2 linked regions of the Nothobranchius furzeri genome follow. The protein of the gene in region 1 interacts with the protein of each later gene in a biochemical or structural test. Links are inferred from orthologs where the notes say so. Each region holds a gene or a part of one and is shown in the gene's direction. Other genes may lie near its edges.

The links.
Region 2: the proteins of med23 (region 1) and elf3 form a complex in vitro, tested with the Homo sapiens proteins (4 studies listed by BioGRID, with this or other methods). The link is inferred for Nothobranchius furzeri from reciprocal best matches to the Homo sapiens genes MED23 and ELF3.

What each region holds. Positions count from the first base shown.
Region 1 is NC_091742.1:26,113,189-26,123,314, forward strand, and holds the start of med23 (mediator of RNA polymerase II transcription subunit 23), read left to right. Parts: upstream 1-5,339; 5' UTR 5,340-5,422; intron 5,423-6,031; exon of another isoform or gene 6,032-6,165; 5' UTR 6,166-6,167; coding exon 6,168-6,218; intron 6,219-6,495; coding exon 6,496-6,527; intron 6,528-6,658; coding exon 6,659-6,746; intron 6,747-6,830; coding exon 6,831-6,955; intron 6,956-7,230; coding exon 7,231-7,342; intron 7,343-7,580; coding exon 7,581-7,679; intron 7,680-8,226; coding exon 8,227-8,328; intron 8,329-8,406; coding exon 8,407-8,476; intron 8,477-10,126. Other genes in the region: il20ra (interleukin-20 receptor subunit alpha), read right to left, coding at 2,226-2,370, 2,456-2,631, 2,761-2,960, 3,074-3,197, 5,136-5,184. UniProt on the Homo sapiens protein: Required for transcriptional activation subsequent to the assembly of the pre-initiation complex. Component of the Mediator complex, a coactivator involved in the regulated transcription of nearly all RNA polymerase II-dependent genes.
Region 2 is NC_091743.1:3,096,661-3,106,969, reverse strand, and holds elf3 (ETS-related transcription factor Elf-3), read left to right. Parts: upstream 1-4,370; 5' UTR 4,371-4,457; intron 4,458-4,562; 5' UTR 4,563-4,569; coding exon 4,570-4,702; intron 4,703-5,185; coding exon 5,186-5,419; intron 5,420-6,120; coding exon 6,121-6,228; intron 6,229-6,309; coding exon 6,310-6,420; intron 6,421-6,507; coding exon 6,508-6,588; intron 6,589-6,656; coding exon 6,657-6,776; intron 6,777-6,853; coding exon 6,854-7,049; intron 7,050-7,800; coding exon 7,801-7,906; 3' UTR 7,907-10,106; downstream 10,107-10,309. UniProt on the Homo sapiens protein: Transcriptional activator that binds and transactivates ETS sequences containing the consensus nucleotide core sequence GGA[AT]. Acts synergistically with POU2F3 to transactivate the SPRR2A promoter and with RUNX1 to transactivate the ANGPT1 promoter.

The sequences.
Region 1 (10,126 bases):
CAGTGCAGACACCAAGTCGTGCACCAATTTAGCCAGGAGGCTGTCTACCGAAGAGCCAACTGGCTTCATGGAGCTAATCAGTTTCATTACGTCAGCAAGCTGAACTGGAGCAAAGTCCGAGAAGGCAGGTGGGCCAGGTGGTTCCACACAACTCGACTATTGCAATTCCGTTTTATTTGGTGTAGGTAAGGGTACTGTAACCCGATTGCAGCTTGTCCAGAATGCTGCAGCTAGATTCTTGGACTGCAAAAGAAAGCATGGACACGTGACACCAATTTTGGCTGCTCTCCACTAGTTACCTGTTGATTTTAGAATTCCTTTTAAACCTCTTTCAATGGTGTTTAAGGCGCTGAATGGAGTGGCCCTAGCCTATTTGGCGGAGTTGCTGTAGCCGTATGCTCCGGCCCGGTCACTCCGCTCTGAGAACCAGCTGCTGCTTGTGGCTCCTAAGGCTAGGTTAAAGTTAAGGGGGGACAGGGAATTCTCTGTTGCGGGTCCGAAACTGTGGAACGCACTGCACCTAACTATGCGGGGCTCTCCATCAGTAGCAGTTTTTAAAATGAGGCTGAAAACCTACTTTTATGATCTGGCTTTTAATTCTGTGGGTTAGCAGTAAGGAGTGAATTGTGCTGTACAGCCTAGACTGGTCTCCGCGATGCTGTGAAATGATAGCAGAAAAGAAGGTGTTACGAGCAGATCTAACTGCTCTCTGGTAGCGGGAAAGTGCATCAACCAGGAGCAGCCGAGAGCATGACAGTCTGTCTCTCTTCCACCTCCGCTCCAGTACCCTACACTGTCGCCTGAGGCTACGGGTGTAATCATTCAGCCAGGGGTCGGGGTCTGTTTCCACTTCGGTCTCAGAGGGCCAACAGCGTCCGGAGCAGCAGAGCAGGTCACACTGAACCGATGCAGAAGGCCATCTACATCCATGCAGGAAACTGACAGGGGCGGAGCCAGGGCATCAGTGTCCAAAACAGACAGAAAGTTGGAAGTCGTACTTGGAGATAAGCGCCTGGAGTAACGAGCAGACTGTCACCGGGCTGGAGGAAGGAGGTATGAGATGCTGAACGGGATCACAGCATGGTCGGAAAATGCCACAGGATCCACAGATAAATCCTACACATCCAGTCCAAAAGATAAAACCAAATCTAGGATGTGAGAGTCAGCATGAGTGGGAACATTTACCAATTGCTTTAATTCAATTCAATTCAAATTCAAAAATACTTTATTAATCCCAGAGGGAAATAGATTTGTAGTCCATATGAGTCTAAAACTTTGATAAAGTCCCTCACCAGTGGTTTCAGAGGGCAGCAGACGTGGATATTAAAATCCCCCCAAAATAATCCCCCGTTCGTCTTTTGGAAGCACATCAGCTAAAAGATTGGAGAATTCATTTTTAAAATCCTTATTGTATCTTGGTGGCCTGTAACAAAGTAAAACAAGGATGGGAGGAGAGAAGCCCAGCTCTAATACCGATACTTCAAAACTGGTCGGAGCCATCAGCCCAGCAAGAGCTTCAAGTGGGAGATTAGAACAGTACAGGGACAGCAGGAACGCCGGGACCTTGTCAAACAGGCGACCAAACGTCAGCCTGTGATACAGAGACATGGGCCAAACGGAAGGGGAGGAGACTTGGGCTCTATTCAACATTCGATATTTATTGCTGTTGCAAACAGGAACAAAAGTGGACAATCACCTTTAGCTTGCATTTCTGTTTGTTTTTTCTGTGAAAATATGTAGTCCAAAATGGCTGCTGCATCCAGCCGACTCAAGCACCAACCTGGCTGGAACTAGGCCAACTTTACAGATACTGAGCTAAACTTTGGAGTCATACTTGCTGACAGCCATCCAGAGAACTACACGTTGTGTAACATCTTTGCATAAAACTTTTACATTACCGTTCAAAGGCTACCCAGTCAACCTGTCGCAAAACCATTGGTATGAATAGGAAAGGCCCTTTCACGATCACAGACAAATCACTCAAGCTCTTACAATACCCGTGTGAACGCTTTTACTTAAATTTGAACAAAAATCTTATATGTGATCATTACATACAACAAAGGCATAATCGTTAGGTAAAAAAATTCTACCAATCTAGATGCGACTTGTGGATAAACAAGTCTAGCATTTGCTTCTCTTTGGTTTTTGTTCGCTGTTCGGTCACATTTCTTTCTACCATCCTCAAAACAAAACATTCTCATTAACAGGAAGTCACACGGTTGTACCTTTAGGCGTAGTGAGGCAGTGCCAAGGTGAAGACTCGCTTCGCATTTCTATGGAGACGAACCTCGACTTGGCAGAGAAGCAGTATTTTGTATTGTACGCCATCAGCTGATATTTGTACGGGCTGGCGGAGACTGGGATATGATGCTGTGAAAGTACATAGTACATACATCGTATGTATGTGGTTTGTGCTTCAAGTGTTCAGCAAACATAACCAATGAACTTTACTCACCATCTTGTCGAGGTAGGTGTTGTGGATGAAGAGGTTATAAGATGTGTGAGGGTAGATTGAGTTCATGGAGACGGCTAGTGAGTGGTTGGTTGGTGAATACCTCATGGGTCCCACCAAAGTGACGGTTGCACTGTTGTTCTCTATTTCCACGGTAACTGACGGGGGGCCAAAAACAGCTACGTGGACAGACAAGGTACATTGTTTTAGCACTTTTTTTTTTTACTAAAACACTCCAAATCAAATCTTCCCCAAACAAAATATTCTATAAGTGAAGATAAAGGCTCCGCCTACTTATTTATTCTTACTTTCTGTCTTTAGATCGTATCTCTGCGTCTCAGCCCACTTTGAAGATGATTTTCTTCGCAAGGCACGAACTCTGGCATAATATGCCTGTTCCAGATCCTGCATCTGAGCGCTCAGATCACACCAAGTCCCGCCTATATCCATGCACTGCCTCACTGGTCTCCAGAGTATTCCTTTTCTTTTGTTGGTGGTTTCACCATAGCTGCAAAACACAGAGCAGATCCACTCGGGCTGAAAATGACCATCATTTCATGACCAAGTTACTTGTCAGGGTAGCTTAAGTACACATTCGTCATTAGCATCAAATAGACTCACATGGCATATTCCACTGTAAAGCGTGTGTCTTCTGGTGAACCATGCCCTGGAGACCAGTGCAGCACGGTCCTTAGATTCACAGAGGAGAAGTGAACACCAGTGGGGATGGGCAGACGGGCTGAGGCTGAAGCAAAGAAAGGAATGAAAGAGTGGACATTTAGAAACATAAACACTGCTTTAAGTGAAGGCTTTCTTTGTGTTTAGATCAGATTCAGTGTTTTAGGAGCCAAACCGCTAACAATTTCCTTCATGCATATTTGTGAGATTTTCCTGGTAATGGTAAATGGCCTGTATTTGTGTAGCACCTTGTAGGGCTTTACAACCCCCCAAGGCACGTCACAACACATGGTAAATGGCCTGTACTTGATGTAGCGCCTTACAGAGTCCTGGAATCCTCCAAGGCGCTTTACAATATGATCAGTCATTCACCTATTCACACACTGGTGAGCTACCATGTAGCCACAGCTGCCCTGGGAGCGCACTGACAGAGGCGATGCCTGCTATACACCGGCACCATCAGTCCCTCTGACCAGCACCAGGCAAGGTGGGTTAAGTTTCTTGCCCAAGGACAGAACAGCAGAATCCTTCAGTGGGACTGAACCTGGTGTAATTGCTCAACCTTAATTCTGTCTTTTCCCTTTAGCTCTAAATCATAATTTTATTTGTGTATACCTTAATTTGTGTTCTCATGTTTGTTTTTGTTGTGCTGTTTCATGCTAATTGTAAAGCGCACTGAATTGCCCCATGTTTGAAATGTGCTACATAAATGAAGCTGCCTTGCTTACAACCTTCCGATTCCTCCTAAGCTACTGCTGCCCCAATCACAATAAAATGTACTTGAATGGAGTGGAGTAATTGCATCTCTGTTTACTTGAAAGGAAACAACACGATCTTTATGAAACGTGCATTACAGGAACTACGGTGTAAACCTATACTGGCTGACAGCTAAGCACCCATTATTATCATGAAACCAGACTGGGTCACATGAAACAACTTAAAACTCAAAACTACTCACTTGAAATTTTATACTAAATTAATTGAAATGTTTGGAAACTTTGTGCAAATATATATATATGTGCAAATATATAAATATATATAAATATATATATATATATAATTTATTTTTTGGGTTGCAATGCATTCGAGCATTCTCTCGAGTTCATAAACTATAGCTCAGGAGGTTAGGTGGGTTGCCCAGTAATCGGATGGTTGCAGGTTTGATTCCGGCTCCCACCAGAGAAGAGAAGGGTCAGGTGCTGTTGCCAGAGAATGCTGCTCTTGTGTCCTTAGGCAAGACACTACCGGTCTTTCCGGCTGTGGTGGTCGGAGGGACCGGTGGCGCCACTGTATGGCAGATGGGCAGACCTCGCCTCAGTCCGTGCGCTCCAGGGTGTGTGTGTGTGTGTGCATGGACGTAATTTTTGGGGGGGGCGGGGGGACATGTCCCCCCCATTTTTTCCAAAGTCAAGTTTGGACCCCTGCACTTTTTACCATCCAAAAACAATATTACGCTATATTAAATTGACACTCGTTGAGGTCTAGGACCAGGCAGAAAACAACCGTTTGTGTTGAAGCCTGTTTCCCATTAGAACATACTGTAAAGACCCCCCCCCCCTTGTGTCCCCCCCACTTCTAAAGTGAAAATTACGTCCATGTGTGTGTGTGTGGGGGGGATGACTGATGATTGTGAAGCGCCTTGGGGGGTTGTTAAACCCTAAGAAGGTGCTACAAATCCATGTACCATTTACCAAAGAGACAGAATCGGAGAGAAAATTGCTGCATTAAATAAATTTCATTTTAGTAATATATTCGACCTCTTTCTGGTGTTTTCTAGCGTTTTGAATGACTAATTAAAATTCCTTGTGATCTCAGAGTTCTGTGGTAATTTGCGTAAACATGAAGTTTTCTGTTTTGTTCATTAATTTGATGTTTTACTGACTGGATTGTAGCCTACTTTAAATGAAACACACTTCTCGCATGTTTAGCAACAACAAAGCAAGGCAAGATTATTATTTTTTTCATAAAACCTTTTTTTCTCGCGTTAATAGTTTAACAGTCTCACCTGCGGTCCGCAGAACCACAAATCCGATCAAGACGATCTCAGTCCACATGTCGGTGTGGATCGACCATTTTAATGAGAAATCTGCGGTTTCTCACCCGTTGATCCTCTCCTGTTTCTCCTCGGGTTTAAACGCAATCAGATTAAAAACACAAGAAGATAAAAGTGTCTTAAGTTGGAGGGAACGCGGACTGCCACGATTAAACCTGTAAAGCCACAAAAATGATGCCTGGTTTCCGTGTTTAGGAAGGAATGTGATCTCACTGGTCGGAGCACATACACCTGAGCAGGTAGTTATGTGGAATGGTTCTTCACGCGCCTCTAGCGTCTGCCTTTAAGTTTTTCATGTTCTTTTTTATAATGGTTAATAATATGAATTTATATTTTCACATTTTCAAACAGTTTTTGTGACATTTACTTGATTGCAAAAGCAGTGATTTGACGGTTTTCACATTGTGCCTCTCCCTTTTCTGTATTTTTGTTTAGTTTCCCCTTCTTTTATTTCCTCAGTGACTTACTGTGTATCATGATGCAATTGTACAATGGGATAATTATTAACTAGCTAAAGAGATGATAAAACCATCTTTGCTGTGTCCAAAAGATTTATATTAGACCTGGAAGAACATCAAAGTTTATTCACTCAGATCTAGAATATCTTATCTGTCTGAAAGACGTAAAGTGACAAAGAAAACAGAAACACATCTTGACACATACATCTAGTCACCAATATTTACATCTCTTCAGTTGAAAGTTTGTGTTTCACTCATTAATAAAACTTAAAGAGAAATAGACTATAATAATTTAACAATAATAATTTAATTAATAGACTTTTATGACGATTCATAAGAGCCAAAAGACTAAGTGAGGCGGAATCTTTGTCTCGTGCTTCGATGCATACCCGGAACGTTTTCGTGGTCGGTCGCGTGTCTCATGTCTCATGGCGGAATTTGTTGCTGTTAGCATCTAGCTTGCTGGCAGCTCTGTGTTAGGTTCCCTGTGATGTTTGGATAAAAATACACGTTTCATATCGCAGAGATGGCGCTTTCCATGGAGACGCAGCTGCAGAGCATCTTTGAAGACGTTGTGGTAAGTTGCAATTTCTTAAACCGGTTAACAATTTAGCTAACGTTTATTAGCATCTCAAAGAGTGTTAGCCTATTCACTGACACTTACTGAATTTAGCATACACTTTCAAATTATTGATCTAAATCATAAATGCAGTAATTCAGAAGATTAATGGGGAAATATATGTGAATGTAAAACTGTTTTAGTTTTATTTTAATTGTCTAAATTGGACATTTATGTGTTTTTCTAACTTTGTTGGTGTTAGTAAATCAGCAATCATATTTTCCTCTGTTTACAGAAAACTGAGCTGATAGAGGAGGCTTTTGCAGGGTGAGGTGGCTCAAAATTCATTTTCACACTTATTAATTATATAAAAACTGGACAAGAGGGCTCGGCTTAGAGTTTTTTTGTGCTTTTATTTGCCGTTAAAATGGGGTAGTAAACATAAATGCTGTTTTTAGGATGTTCATGGACACTCCAGAGGATGAGAGGACTAAACTGATCAGCTGTCTTGGAGCATTTAGACAATACATGGGAACCCTGCCGCAGGTTCTACATTTGTACTGATAATTAATCTGTCGTTTTTGTAAAAATAAATAATTAAAATTTATTTCACTTCTGTCATTCCACCAGGACTCCCATGAGAAGTGTGTGCAATGGATTGTGCATTTCATACACAGTCAGCACAGTCCCAAAAGAATCTCATTCCTGTACGACTGTTTAGCGATGGCAGTGGAGACCAGTTTGTTGCCACCAAGGTTCATACTCACACTCATCCAGGGCACATTGCATCTTATGCCTTCATTTAGACGAAAATACGTCATAATTACTCCAGTGATATTTTTGATGTGACTGCAGAATTACTGTCTGTTCTTTTTCCTGAGGAATACAGTAAACTAAATTAGATTTTTTTTATGTTATTTCGTATTTGGTGACTTTCATGTTACTGTTGTTAAAGCTGATTAAGCACATGCACATCAGTGTATTTTAAATGTATTAAACATGCATCTAAGAGAGGCTGTTTTGTTTTTAGGATGGTGTGTGTTGCTTTGATAACCTCGAAGAGTTTTCAGTGGGAAAAGACGCAGCTGTGGGCCTTAACTTTCAAACTGATCCACAAGATAATCGGTGGCGTGGACTACAAGGTTTCTGACACTCAACGCCAGATGCAGTTTAAAAAAAATGCCTTCTTAATGAATATGCTGTGCAGGAAAATGTTGTTCTTGTTTATTTGTTGTGGTCAGTAGCAGATGTGCCTTGTAACTCTGCTGAAGGTTTTCGTACTTTAAAAGAGGTTTGAATACTAATTTTTGAAGTTTATGAAGGACAATATCAGTAAATAAAAATTCTAAATCGACACCTTTGCTTTGATCTGTGTTTTAGGGGGTTCGTGATCTGCTGAAAGCTGTACTGGATAAAATACAATCCATCCCTACGACTGTCAGTTCTGCCATAGTCCAGCAGCTTCTTGCTGCTAGAGAGGTGCCCTCCTTTCTGTTTACATCTTCAGTAGTTATGTTTAACTCATTCACTGCCAGCCGTTTCCTGATCGCTAACGGCCTTCGCTGCCAGCGTTTCTCGCCGTTTTTACTGTTTTTTAACAGTCACAGAACGTTTCACGCTAGCATGATGTCGATGCCAAAACAACCTAAACAAAGAGGAGACTCACCTCTTACATCAGGAAGAATCCGTGTGTTTAGAGCGTCATCCGTTCTTTCATAATCCGTTGTCGAATTGTGATCGGCAGACGCTTTTCCGGTTCGCGCCTCACTTTTTTTTACAGGAACGCCCCAAAACAATCTCCTAACACATGGATGTGTTGCTTCCTGATCATGTGATCTGTGACGTATGTGGATGAAGATCGGCTTCAGGGCTGAGATGTTTGTTCTCTCAGCGCGGGGGCTCGTTCCGATGCTCAAACAGTAAAAAAAAATGCAAATTGGCAGTGAATGAGTTAAAAGACATTTTGTGTAAATATGACTAAAAATGCCAGTTTTATTAACATGTTTACATTTGTTTCATATTCCAGGTGGTTGAATATATCCTTGACAGAAACGCCTGCCTCTTGCCTGCATATTTCGCTGTTACAGAAATCAGAAAACTTTATCCAGAGGGACAACTCTCACACTGGGTGAGTAGATCTCTTTATTTTATTTTCCTCTCATTGCATTTTTAAAATCATATCTTAATAGTCAGTATGTTTCTGTAGCTTTTAGGCAGTTTGATCTCAGACTTCGTGGACAGTTTTAGACCTACTGCAAGAATTAACTCCATCTGTGGTAAGACACACACCCAACGTTCATATCATTTATTAGTTTTGCAATAAAAAATCCATCTACGTGAATAAATGTAATCGTAAACGGCCTTCAAACAAACACGTGTAAAAAATATGAGAAATAAAAGAAATTCAATAAGAGGAACAACGGCAAAAGACGACAGGGAAGTATAAAATATCAAACAATCTCCTAAATGGGGACTGTTGTTGTTTCAAACACTTTTTAGTTATCTGTGTTGCTTTCATTAGCTTGTTTTCCATTTCCAAAGAGTTTTGACTCATTCCGCCTCGACACTAAAGCCAACAGGATTTTTAAAGATGTAGAATTACTGGTAAATAAACTAGAATGCACGTTATTTACATTTGTCAAATACAAAATACTAAATTCTCCATTTCTGTGGTGCCATAAACATTAATATATTTTACACATGTTAAATTATTATTTATAATAAATCACTTGGTGAATAACCTTCAACCTTTTTTATCCTATTGGCTTTTTGTGTTTATGTCATTTTCTCTTTATTTTTGCCTCAACGAGAGCCGTGTGAACTCATCCCCTCCTCTAGTGCTCGTCTGAGAACGAGGCGGGGAGGTCGTGTTATTTAACAAGCTGAGGGAAGTAAAGTACAAAAATAAATCCATTAATCAAGATAAGAAAAGCGTCAGTTTGACAGTGTTTACATTGTAAAACAAAACAAACACATTCTCACTTGTTCAACCCCCATAGGAAGGTGCTGATTCAGAGCTTAAATGCGTTTTTATGTGCATGAAAATTGATCTTGTAAGTTTCAGTAAACATGATTATTGTTGTTATGTCATGCATTTAGGTTTTTTTTTTTCATTTCAAATATATTCCTGTTGTGGTTTGTTTGTTGAATTCATTATTTAATTCTTTTATTTGGCCTCATTCAGGCTAAGGTGACCAGTGAATTGTGTTTAAATAAGTGATGCACCAACATGAAATTTTTAGACCAATATCCGATATTAAGATCACTGTTTTGACCGATAACCGATATTTGCCGATACCGATATACTGACATTAATGATTCTAAAATCAGCAGATTTTGTGTAAAATGAACATTATTAAAGCTGAATTTACATTAAAATGTGCACACACCACACACACATACACTTCAGAGATGATTACAATCACTGTCACATGACTAAAGAAATACACATCACCTTCTCAACCTCTGAAACAGGCAAACAAATGGAGACAAGATGGAAAAAATATCGGTTGTTAATATCGGCCTGATTTTATTTATTGGACCGATATTTTAAAGAATGATTAACATCAGCCGATACCGATATTGATGCTAAATGCAACTTAAAAAAATTATTTAGCATGTCTGTTTTTACACAAACCAAGATCAGAAATACCTTAAAAGGCCTGATTAAGTGAACAGAAATATGCATTCATATCCATTTATTTCCCCAGTTTAGAAAATATGTAGTTTGCTTTGTCTTCAATTTAAGCAAAGTATCCTCTCTGATGTCTGGATGAGAAAATGTCTAAATTTTGTTCATTTATTGATGAAATATATACGTATACTTTTAGATTTGTATCATTATATTTTTAAGATGATGTCTAATTAGAATTAAATGAGATTATTTAATAGTGGAATGTTTTCTCCTATAGTTAGGGATGCAACAA
Region 2 (10,309 bases), on another chromosome or scaffold:
CGTGGGTCATGGATTCAAACACTGCTTTGGTGGAATCCCTATCACGTTTATTCAGCTGACTTTGGGTCTCTCCATCTTCTGAGCTGTCACACTCTCTCCCTTCTTCCTTAACTTCCACTCTTTGTTCCTGACCAAACCTGACAATGGGACGGTCCAGGCTCTGTACATAATGAAATTGATATATGTGTTACAATATAGGCTATCATTTGTGACAAAATCTTTATCTGACTTACAACAGTCTTTAAAATTAATGCACAACAGGGAAAATGCAGCACAGACTCCTGCAGGATATTAGCTGTAGTTCTCCCTCATCAATACTACATTTCATATTTTATTGTGTTCAATGTTATATTACGTTTACTTATTACAATTATTAACAGCTTTTGTTTCGGTTTTGCTCTCTGATGAATTATTTGGAAATTACTGATTTTTGGTTTGTGTTCTAAAAGCTACAAAAACAAATTACATCTTGTAAAACCTCCCATAATTCAGTCAGATTCAAACCATTTCATTTCAAGGTATTTAGTAGATGAAGAGGTTTTTTTTCTTGTATGGTCCCTTCAAAAAGGTGCTTCACAGTAATTTATGTTACATTACCAGACTAAATAACAATGCTTCAACCTGCCCAGCATCCAAAACAATCTATACATTTTTACTGACTGATATTTATAATTATCATTATGTGCAAAAACAATGTGTTCATCACCAAAAATAGCCTTTTTATATTCCTTTGTAATAGTACTGATAGAGAAGAGAGCCGTAAGTGATTCCCACAGACCCCCTTAAATGAGGCTGCTAGCTAACATGCTACATTGCTCACCTTCTTGAGGTTCATTGGGTTGTGAGGGGACACCTGCTGACACATCACCAGCTGCTGATTCTAGTAGGGACATGGACAACAACCCATTTACCATAATTAGATGAAACATAGTTCCTCTCACTGTGGAAGCTAGCAAACACGTTGAATTTATACATTCAGCCAAACCCACCTTTCTTTGAGAAAAACTGTGTGACATACTGTCTGCCTGTCCTCTTTCTCCTTTCTTCGACCCAGACTTTGTTCTTGCAAACATAGTTTTACTGCAGCCTTGGCGCACTCTGCTGTCTGACTGCTGCGTGAGCTGGCTTCGCCTGCTACACGCCCCTCGGCCAGGTGGACTGAACCATTTTATTTTGTGTTTCAAATTAATTAGTCAAAATAAAGTAGGGACCTCTGAATAAATATGCATTTCATAAAGACTAAAAGATTTTTTGTTTAATGTCTTGAATGAGAAAAATACTGCAAAGTAAAGTACTTGTGATTTTTAAACTAATTTTTTTTTATTCAACTTTGAAACGGTTTTGGGCCCCTGACAGCTGTGGGCCCTTAGAATCTTCCTAATCTTTCACCGCTTTACGGCGCCCCTGTACGTGCGTATGCATATGGAACATTTACAACAAACACCATTGTTTCAGGCTAAATCCCAGTATGGTAGCAAAAGTGGCAAACAGGACAGTAATGATAATTCGGTTATTGATTCACAACTAAAGGCAACAGACACCGGGTCTCGTTTGGTATGAAGTAAAAAAAAATCTTCCAACTGTTTAATCCTTATCCTCCGCAGTTCCACGTTGCAACACTGAGCTAACTGCTAAAAACATTAGCACTCTACAAGCAACTTGCGGTTAGGAAGTCGAGTCTGGGGACTTTGAGTTGGGCTCTCAGATCGCTGGTGCTGAGGTCGCTGAGGTGGTTATAAAGCTCCTCTGTGGCAAGGCCCTGGGGGTGGATGAGATCCGGCCGGAGCTCCTTAAGGCTCTGGATGTTGTGGGGCTGTGTTGGCTGACGCGGCTCTGCAATATCGTGTGGACATCAGGGGCAGTCCCACTGGACTGGCAGACCGGGGTGGTGGTCCCCTTATTTAAAAAAGGGGGCCGCTGGGTGTGTTCCAACTACAGGGGGATCACACTCCTGAGCCTTCCTGGTAAGGTCTATTCAGGGGTTCTGGAGAGGAGGGATGGATTTCTGTTTATCTTGTATTTATTGTTTTTACTCTTTTTAACTTCTTTTACCGGTTATTGTAGTGGATATCTTTTATGTTTATTTTAGTGTCAGCACTTTGGTCGAGCTTTGTATTGATTTTAAAGTATTTTATAAATAAAGATGCTGTGCTATGCCCACTTTCAAGTGAAGTACACTTCTCTTTTGACATTTTATTTCTTGTGTTTGTTCACGATCTATATTTTGTTTGTATGCCATCTCTCCAACTTCACGATTTACCTGTCACCACATTTACTGGCACTGGCCCAACTGGTCCAAACACTGGTTCTCCCAATAAGATCGCATACAGGCCAGAATGCAAATGTGCCAGAGCTTTTCTTCTTTACTTTTTTAGCCTCTCCCTTTCTGCTCCACCTTTCCTGGCCCATCATTCACCAATATGTGCAAATTCAACATAAAAACAACAAAGCTAATTTCATGAAGTTAAAAGCATTAACTCAGTCTTACCTTTTGTTTATTTGTTTATTTAAGGATCCCCATTAGTCCTCACAATAGTGAAAACTTCCTGGTTTACCTGATAAAAGAAACAAAAAGAAAAAGAAAACACACACACATACAGTGTAGGATTGAAAATACACTGTTGCATGTACAATGTAAGAAAAACACAAGAAACACCTATAATCAACCTCATAAAACAAATATCATAAAAAAACACTAGAATCAAAATTCACTAAGAAGAAAAAATATATAATAATAGTAAATAAATAAATGAATAAAAGAAAAAATGCATTTAAAATTAGATCAATGAGTAAATAAAACAATAACAAAAACAAGGTGTTAATTCTATAAAGCTAGTTGAAATAGCTGAGCCTGTTGTCTGATATAAACTTATATTTTACAAATTTCTTAAGTTTATATCAGACAACAGACTTAAACCTTTGCTGGTTTAAGGTTATAACAATCTGTGTTATAGTAAAAACATTCACTTTTTTACGTGCCGGACAGTTCAGAAGTCTCTGATGCCACATTCCATCATGTTCTGGTTCTTCATAAGAACAAAACTCCACGAGGTGAACTCAGCTGCTCTACAACAGCACAGGACGATGAACTGTGGAGAGTTTCCGGTTCTGTCCGGACCTGAGCTAGACTCTGCCCTGCTGACTTCTGCGTGCGTCTTAATGGGTGCTGTACCCCTGCGCCCAAAGGCTCTCCTATTCTTTGTACTGGAGCATGCATGTGCCAGTTCACGATGTGTGGCCTATGGTAGAGACTGCTGTGCCCAAAAGTAACAGGAAATATGTCACAAGACGTAAGACGTAGTAAAAGTGTAAGTAACATTTTTAACTTTATTTTCTCTCTAAGTGTTTTTCTCCCCAGAAGAAGCTACAACGATGTTCTGCTGAGCTGTGGTGGCCTCATGGAGGGGGCCATCGTCTAGCACACTGCTGCTAACCACTTAAACATTCTCCCTCTCCTGATAATAACTTTTTACTCTCTTTGACGTTGGATGTGCTACTACTAGTTTACCCGTTTAATTATAGATCCACTAGGATAATCACAATAAAGTTTATCTCTCACCAAGTAGAATATTTACTATTTATATAGTAAATAAATAATATAATTAATAACTAAACAGAATATTTACTAAGAAATCACAATGTTACCATACAAACACTACTTTGTGTGTGTGTGTGTGTGTGTGTGTGTGTGTGTGTGTGTGTGTGTGTGTGTGTGTGTGTGTTTGAGAAACCACAAAAAAACCAATCATCCCATCATCTCTCTGTTTTTGTGGTTCACGGGTCTAACTACATCTCCTGTTGGCTGTTGTCACATACCAACTATTTTTAGACACGGTGAAAACCAAACTATTCATGTCAGCCTACGTCCTTGTTAGTGAGAGTATCAGTGTACACACACACATGCACGCACGCACGTACACACACACGCACGCACGTGCGCACACACACACGCACGCACGTGCACACACACACACACACACACTTTTCTATAAAAATCCTGCCAGGCGAAAGAGCTACAGATCAGCCACGTTGGTAAAGGTGTAGAAATATTCAGTGGATTCAAATAGATTCTTAAATGATTTAAGAAGTAAGGACAGTTTTTACTTCAGTTATTTCTGGTGGAGATGGCATCCCACCAAGCAGCGCGGATCTTGAAACGTAAGTGTAAAGAATAATAATCTGATCTTTAATAATGCCAAATGTTTGGCTAAGAGGAAAACAGGCAGAGAGAGAGAAACAGGTCAGGTTTTGTTTTTTATCAGGTTCTCTGGAAAGTGTAGGAGGGGTGGAGGTGTGGTCATGTTCAGGTGGAATTCCCCTGAAGTCCAACCCCTTCAGATAAATGCAACAACAGGTGCATATTTGTGTAAAACAGGAACTGGTGAACCAGCAGAGGAGACGACTAAGACACAGAGGACAGACAGTCCGTATCCTACCGTGGTTTGTGCTGGAACTAGGTAAATTCTTGTCCGTTTCTATCATAGGTACATCTGTGGTGGTTGTGTTAGTTTAATTTGTGTTTCTACTGATTTTCAAAACAAGATGTCTCTTGTGTCCATTAGTGGCTAGATGTCTTCACCGTGCCTCAGCAGTATCCTGACTCACGCCAATTTCACCATGTATCAGTCCGGCTTGCCGGATGTCCTCCATCAGCAGACCAACCTGCAAAACCGGAACCTGGCGTTTGGCTACAACTCAAACGGTGAGAGAGTCTGCCGTCAGTGAGGGTTTGGTTTCTGGTCCTGGAGCTTTTATCACAAAGCAGAGGCTGTGGACCAGCTCTACTCTCACAGTGAACATGGACACCTGTTTCCAACACACAGATCATCTTGATCCAACTCACACTGACCTAAATCAGACAATGAGAGTTTAATGATTCGCCACAGAGTCAATGTTTAACTCAACACCACCATCAAAGCAGAGGAAGGTTTTTGTCACACTTACAACCTTCAGACCAGCTTCTAGCTTCACAGCACATTCTGCTGAGGAGGGTTCTCACGTTAAGAATAAAAACATGTTTCTGCTATTAAAAGAATACATGAAACAACAGACGTTTGGGATTGAAGATTGTTCTTTGATGGTCAAGACCATAAAAGGGAACAACCGTGGTTTGGTAGTTCCCTTTTATGGTCTTGATAAAAGGGGAACTTGTGACGAGTTCTGGGTTGTTACTGCGTCTCCTCAGCTCACACATACAAGCACCTCAACCCAATCTGCTGGACACCAACCCATGTCCTAGAATGGATCAGTGACCTTGTTGAGAGCATGAAGTTTGATGCTAGCACCCTGAGCCTGGCTTGTTGCTCCATCGATGGTCCCTCCCTCTGCTGCTTCGATCAGGAACAAATGATCACAATCTTCGGCCCACAGATTGGGCCTCACCTCAGTCAGAGCTTACAGGAATACAAGACTAAATATGGTAATCTGTCTGTCTGTCTGTCTGTCTGTCTGTCTGTCCGTCCGTCCATCTATCTATCTGTCTGTCTATCTATCATCTGTCTGTCTATCTGTCTGTCTGTCTATCTATCATCTGTCTGTCTATCTATCTATCTATCTATCTATCTATCTATCTATCTATCTATCTATCTATCTATCTATCTATCTATCTATCTATCTATCTATCTATCTATCTATCTATCTATCTATCTATCTATCATCTGTCTATCTATCTATCTATCTATCTATCTATCTATCTATCTATCTATCTATCTATCTATCTATCTGTCTGTCTATCTATCTGTCTATCTATCTGTCTGTCTATCTGTCTGTCTGTCTGTCTGTCTGTCTGTCTGTCTGTCTGTCTGTCTGTCTGTCTGTCTGTCTGTCTGTCTGTCTGTCTGTCTGTCTGTCTATCTATCTATCTATCTGTCTGTCTGTCTGTCTGTCTGTCTGTCTGTCTGTCTGTCTGTCTGTCTGTCTGTCTGTCTGTCTGTCTGTCTATCTATCTGTCTGTCTGTCTGTCTGTCTGTCTGTCTGTCTGTCTGTCTGTCTGTCTGTCTGTCTGTCTGTCTATCTATCTATCTATCTATCTGTCTGTCTGTCTGTCTGTCTGTCTGTCTGTCTGTCTGTCTGTCTGTCTGTCTGTCTGTCTGTCTAATCCGTTTGTCCTGTCTGACTCAGAGCTGCAGAGCCTGTCAGGACCAGAACTAAGTGAGACCTGCCAGCTCCTGGACACCTTCTTGGACAACCTGACATACCCTTTGCTCAGCACCATCAAAATAGGAGCAGGCATGGAAGACTGAAGGTTTAATGGCTGTGCTTGATTTAATATGTTAAAACTTATGGAGAGTTCACCCCTTTCTTCCACAGCTGATGAAGCAGTGAGGAGACAGTTTGAATACCACAACGACTACAGTCTGCCGCCGGAGTCTGTGAGCCCCGAGTCTCTGTCTGACAGTCAGTCTGAAAGCGAATGCAGCAGTTAGTATTTCATCATCTGGTTGTCTTTGATGTTTTTCCTCCTCAGGAGTCTTGTTGTTGGTTTCAAATGAAACGTCTCATTTTCAGGTGGCGTGTTCACCTTTATGAGCTCAACGGAGTCTGGCAGCAGCGAATCAGAACAAGAGTTCTCAAACGCTGGAATGTCAAGTGAGTGAGAAGAGAAACTTCTTTTGCATGGACCGTTCTTCACTCAAATGTTCCTGTTGTGTTGACAGAGGTTCACGTCAAAACAGAGGAAAGCGAATCCCGCGTGAAGCGTCCACGAGGACGACCTCCGAAAGCCAACAGGGAGCACATCAGCAGCATGTATGACACTGCAAAGAAAAGTAAACACGGTAAACATCAGTCAGGCGTCTGCACCTCTGCTTCAGCTTTGCGTTGTGGCACACATGCTGTTATTCATCTCCTGCAGCACCTCGTGGCTCTCACCTGTGGGAGTTTATCAGGGACATTCTGATCCACCCAGATAAGAACCAGGGCCTAATGAAGTGGGAAGATCGTCAGGAGGGCGTGTTTAAGTTCCTGAAGTCTGAGGCCGTGGCGCAAATGTGGGGCCAGAAGAAGAAGAACAGCAGCATGACCTACGAGAAGCTCAGCCGCGCCATGAGGTGAGTTTGTCCTGCAAAACCATTTCTTCACCTGCTACAGATTTTACCTGAATTGGAGCTCAAGCTAAATGTTTGAAAACACACACACACACACACACACACACACACACACACACACACACACACACACACACACACACACTAGGGGTTGCATGACTTAATTTTTTTTAAAGTCGACAGTCAAGTAATGAAAATTGAGTCGACTTCGACTAGTCGTTGATGACGTCATACACCTGAAGCGGGGGGGGGGGGGGGGGGTTCGCTGGAGTTTTTGACGATTAAAATGAAATTTAAAACTCTGCATGTTACTTGTGCGATTTAGATCCGGGGCTTTTCAGAAAACATCCGGGGCTTCAGCCCAAGTAGCCGGGCCTAACGCCGCCCCTGCTAGAAATGTTAGCTAAACAAACAACTTCCACTTCTTGCTGCTTTTCTTCAAAAGCCTGCTTCACGCACAGTGGCTACGGTTGTCTGACTGGGGTCTGCTACCGCAGTAATCGCGACGGTCTGACTGGTTGTTTTGCAGATTTGGTCTATTGGGAGGGGCAGCTCTGGTGTGAAGCAACAAGACCTGATGTCTGACTCAAAGTTCCTCCTGAGCCTCAAATGAAGGCACAGATAGTGTATTTGATTAGTTACAATTACAGAATATTATCAACACTGTAGTGACTGCTGTTCAGAAAGTCTGCTGGAAATGAAAAAGAGGTTTGTGTGTACGCTGAGTGATGAACTGATGCTCCTCCACCTACAGGTATTACTACAAGAGGGAGATTCTGGAGCGGGTTGACGGCAGAAGACTTGTATACAAATTCGGAAAGAATTCCAGTGGCTGGAAGACTGAGGAAATTGGCATGTGAGTCCTTCAGAGGGTAGAGGTCAGAGAGCCAGCCTGGCAGAAAAATCTTTTTTTTTTTGTTTAAACACAAACTTCCTTTTAGCGGGAAGGTGTTGCAGACAATGTAAACCGATGCGTTTGGCACTAGTAGGTTTTATGAACCCATATTTACGATTTTATATTGTTTTCTTTTTCACTGCAAAAACTACAAGCATCATTACATGGATGTTTTTTTAGTTTCTGTAAAGTGTCACATTGATATTTGTACAGAATGATCATATGGTTTTTATATAGGACTAGCTCCTCTCGCTGATAGCACCTACAGCCTCCATCCACTCTGTTGCAGACTGTGAGAACTTTCTGTCTTTCTTTGTGGACAAAGTCAATAAGGTTAGATCTAGCATCTCTCCTTCAGCCTTATCGCCGCCTCTCCCGACTCCAACCAGGCCCATCATCCTAGATAGCTTTGCACCTGTTTCTTTGCCTGAGTTAACCAAACTAGTTAACTCTATGAAGACCTCTGCATGCCCCCTCCACATCTCACCCTCATCCTTGTTTAAAAGTGCTTTTCAGTCCATCGGTCCCAGTGTGCTCTCTATAATTAATGCTTCTCTGGTCTCTGGTCAGGTCCCTGCTTACTTTAAGAACGCTGTAATCCACCCGCTTCTTAAAAAACCGAGTCTCGACCCCTCTCTCCATAGCAGCTTCAGACCCATCTCTAAACTTCCGTTCATCTCCAAGATCTTGGAAAAGGTTGTGGCTAAACAACTCACAGCTGCTCTTGATGAACATAACATCTATGATAGCTTCCAGTCAGGTTTTCGTAGAGCTCATTCTACTGAAACAGCTCTTCTTAGGGTCTCTAGTGACCTTCTGACCCACAGTGATGCAGGGGACTGTTCTGTTCTGGTCCTGCTGGACCTGACTGCAGCCTTTGACACTGTTGACCATCACCTGCTACTGGAGAGGCTGAGAGACTGGGTAGGCCTATCAGGATCTGCTCTGGAGTGGTTCTCCTCTTATCTCTCTGAGCGCTCCTTATCTGTGGCCGTCTCCAAGTTTAGGTCCTCCACCACCTCCCTTACCCATGGTGTCCCACAAGGTTCTGTGTTGGGGCCTCTGCTCTTCCTCCTCTATCTGCTTCCTCTTCAGCACATCCTGAGCTCCTTCAAATGAATCTCCTACCATCTTTATGCAGATGACATCCAACTGTACATCTCCTTTAAGCCCCATGAGATGTCTAAGCTGCAGCTGTTACACACCTGCTTAGACTCTACTAAAACCTGGGTGACTGGGAACCCTAACCCAGGCTAAAGACCAAAGAAGAAGAAGAAGAAAGTATCATTTCTATAGCGCCTCTCAAGATAAAAATCACGAGGCGCACAAAGGTGACAGATCATCTGCTGCTGTGGCCCCCAGACTCTGGAACTCTCTCCCCCTGAGCCTGAGATCAGTGGACTCAGTGGTCTCCTTTAAAAAGCAGCTGAAAACTCACCTGTTCAAGCTGGCTTCTGGTGTTACTTCATCACCCTCTCCATGTTCTGCTCTCCCTACCTATTCCACCTTCCTCAGGATCCACTGATTTCCCTCTTTCCTATTCACTCTCTCTCCCTTTTTCCCATGTTTTTCTTTTCTCCTTTAAAATTAATTTAAAATATTTCTAATCATTTTAGAAATGATTTTATACTTTAATATTTTTTTGCTTTTGTGAAGCGCCTCATGATTTTTATCTTGAGAGGCGCTGTATAAAAGATTGTCTTCTTCTTCTTCTTAGGTTTTGTTTGGGGTTATTTGGGAGTCTTCTACTTTATCAGTGTATTAGAAATGTCTTGTTTCCTTTCCCTTAACTGGTTTAAGGTTTTCCTTAACTGTAAACCTGTTGGGGATCAAAATGTAAGATGTAAAAAATACACCAGAATGGAGGGAAATTAATGTAGGTGATCTTATTTCAAATTAACAGTACACTACATAACTATTTGTATGACTTGCTATATAAAGTGTACCTCCACGATGTGTTAGATTTTTTTGGTGATGATTCAGTATGATCTGTGTATTTTGGAAATAAGTATAAAGTATCATGTAATTTGCATTGATGAATGTCAAAGTTTTTCAATGTGCTTCTCATTCACCCATGATGAAGTAAAACTGATTTTAAATCATTTTTTAAAGAATAGTTCACAACTGTGTTATGATACTTTATTTTAATAAAGCATGAAAAGCTCCATCTTTAGTTTGTTGCTTTTTTACCCAACATGACGCACCAAAACACGTCAAATGTAGTTTATGAAATTCTCTACTTGTATTTGGTGAAGGTTTCACCCTCTATGGCTGTTCGTTAGTGGGTCAATCCCACTGCATCAGCATTTCCTGAAGGGCTTTGGTCCATGCTCACCTGCTGGGTGGGCCTCCCCCAGTCAATTCAAAT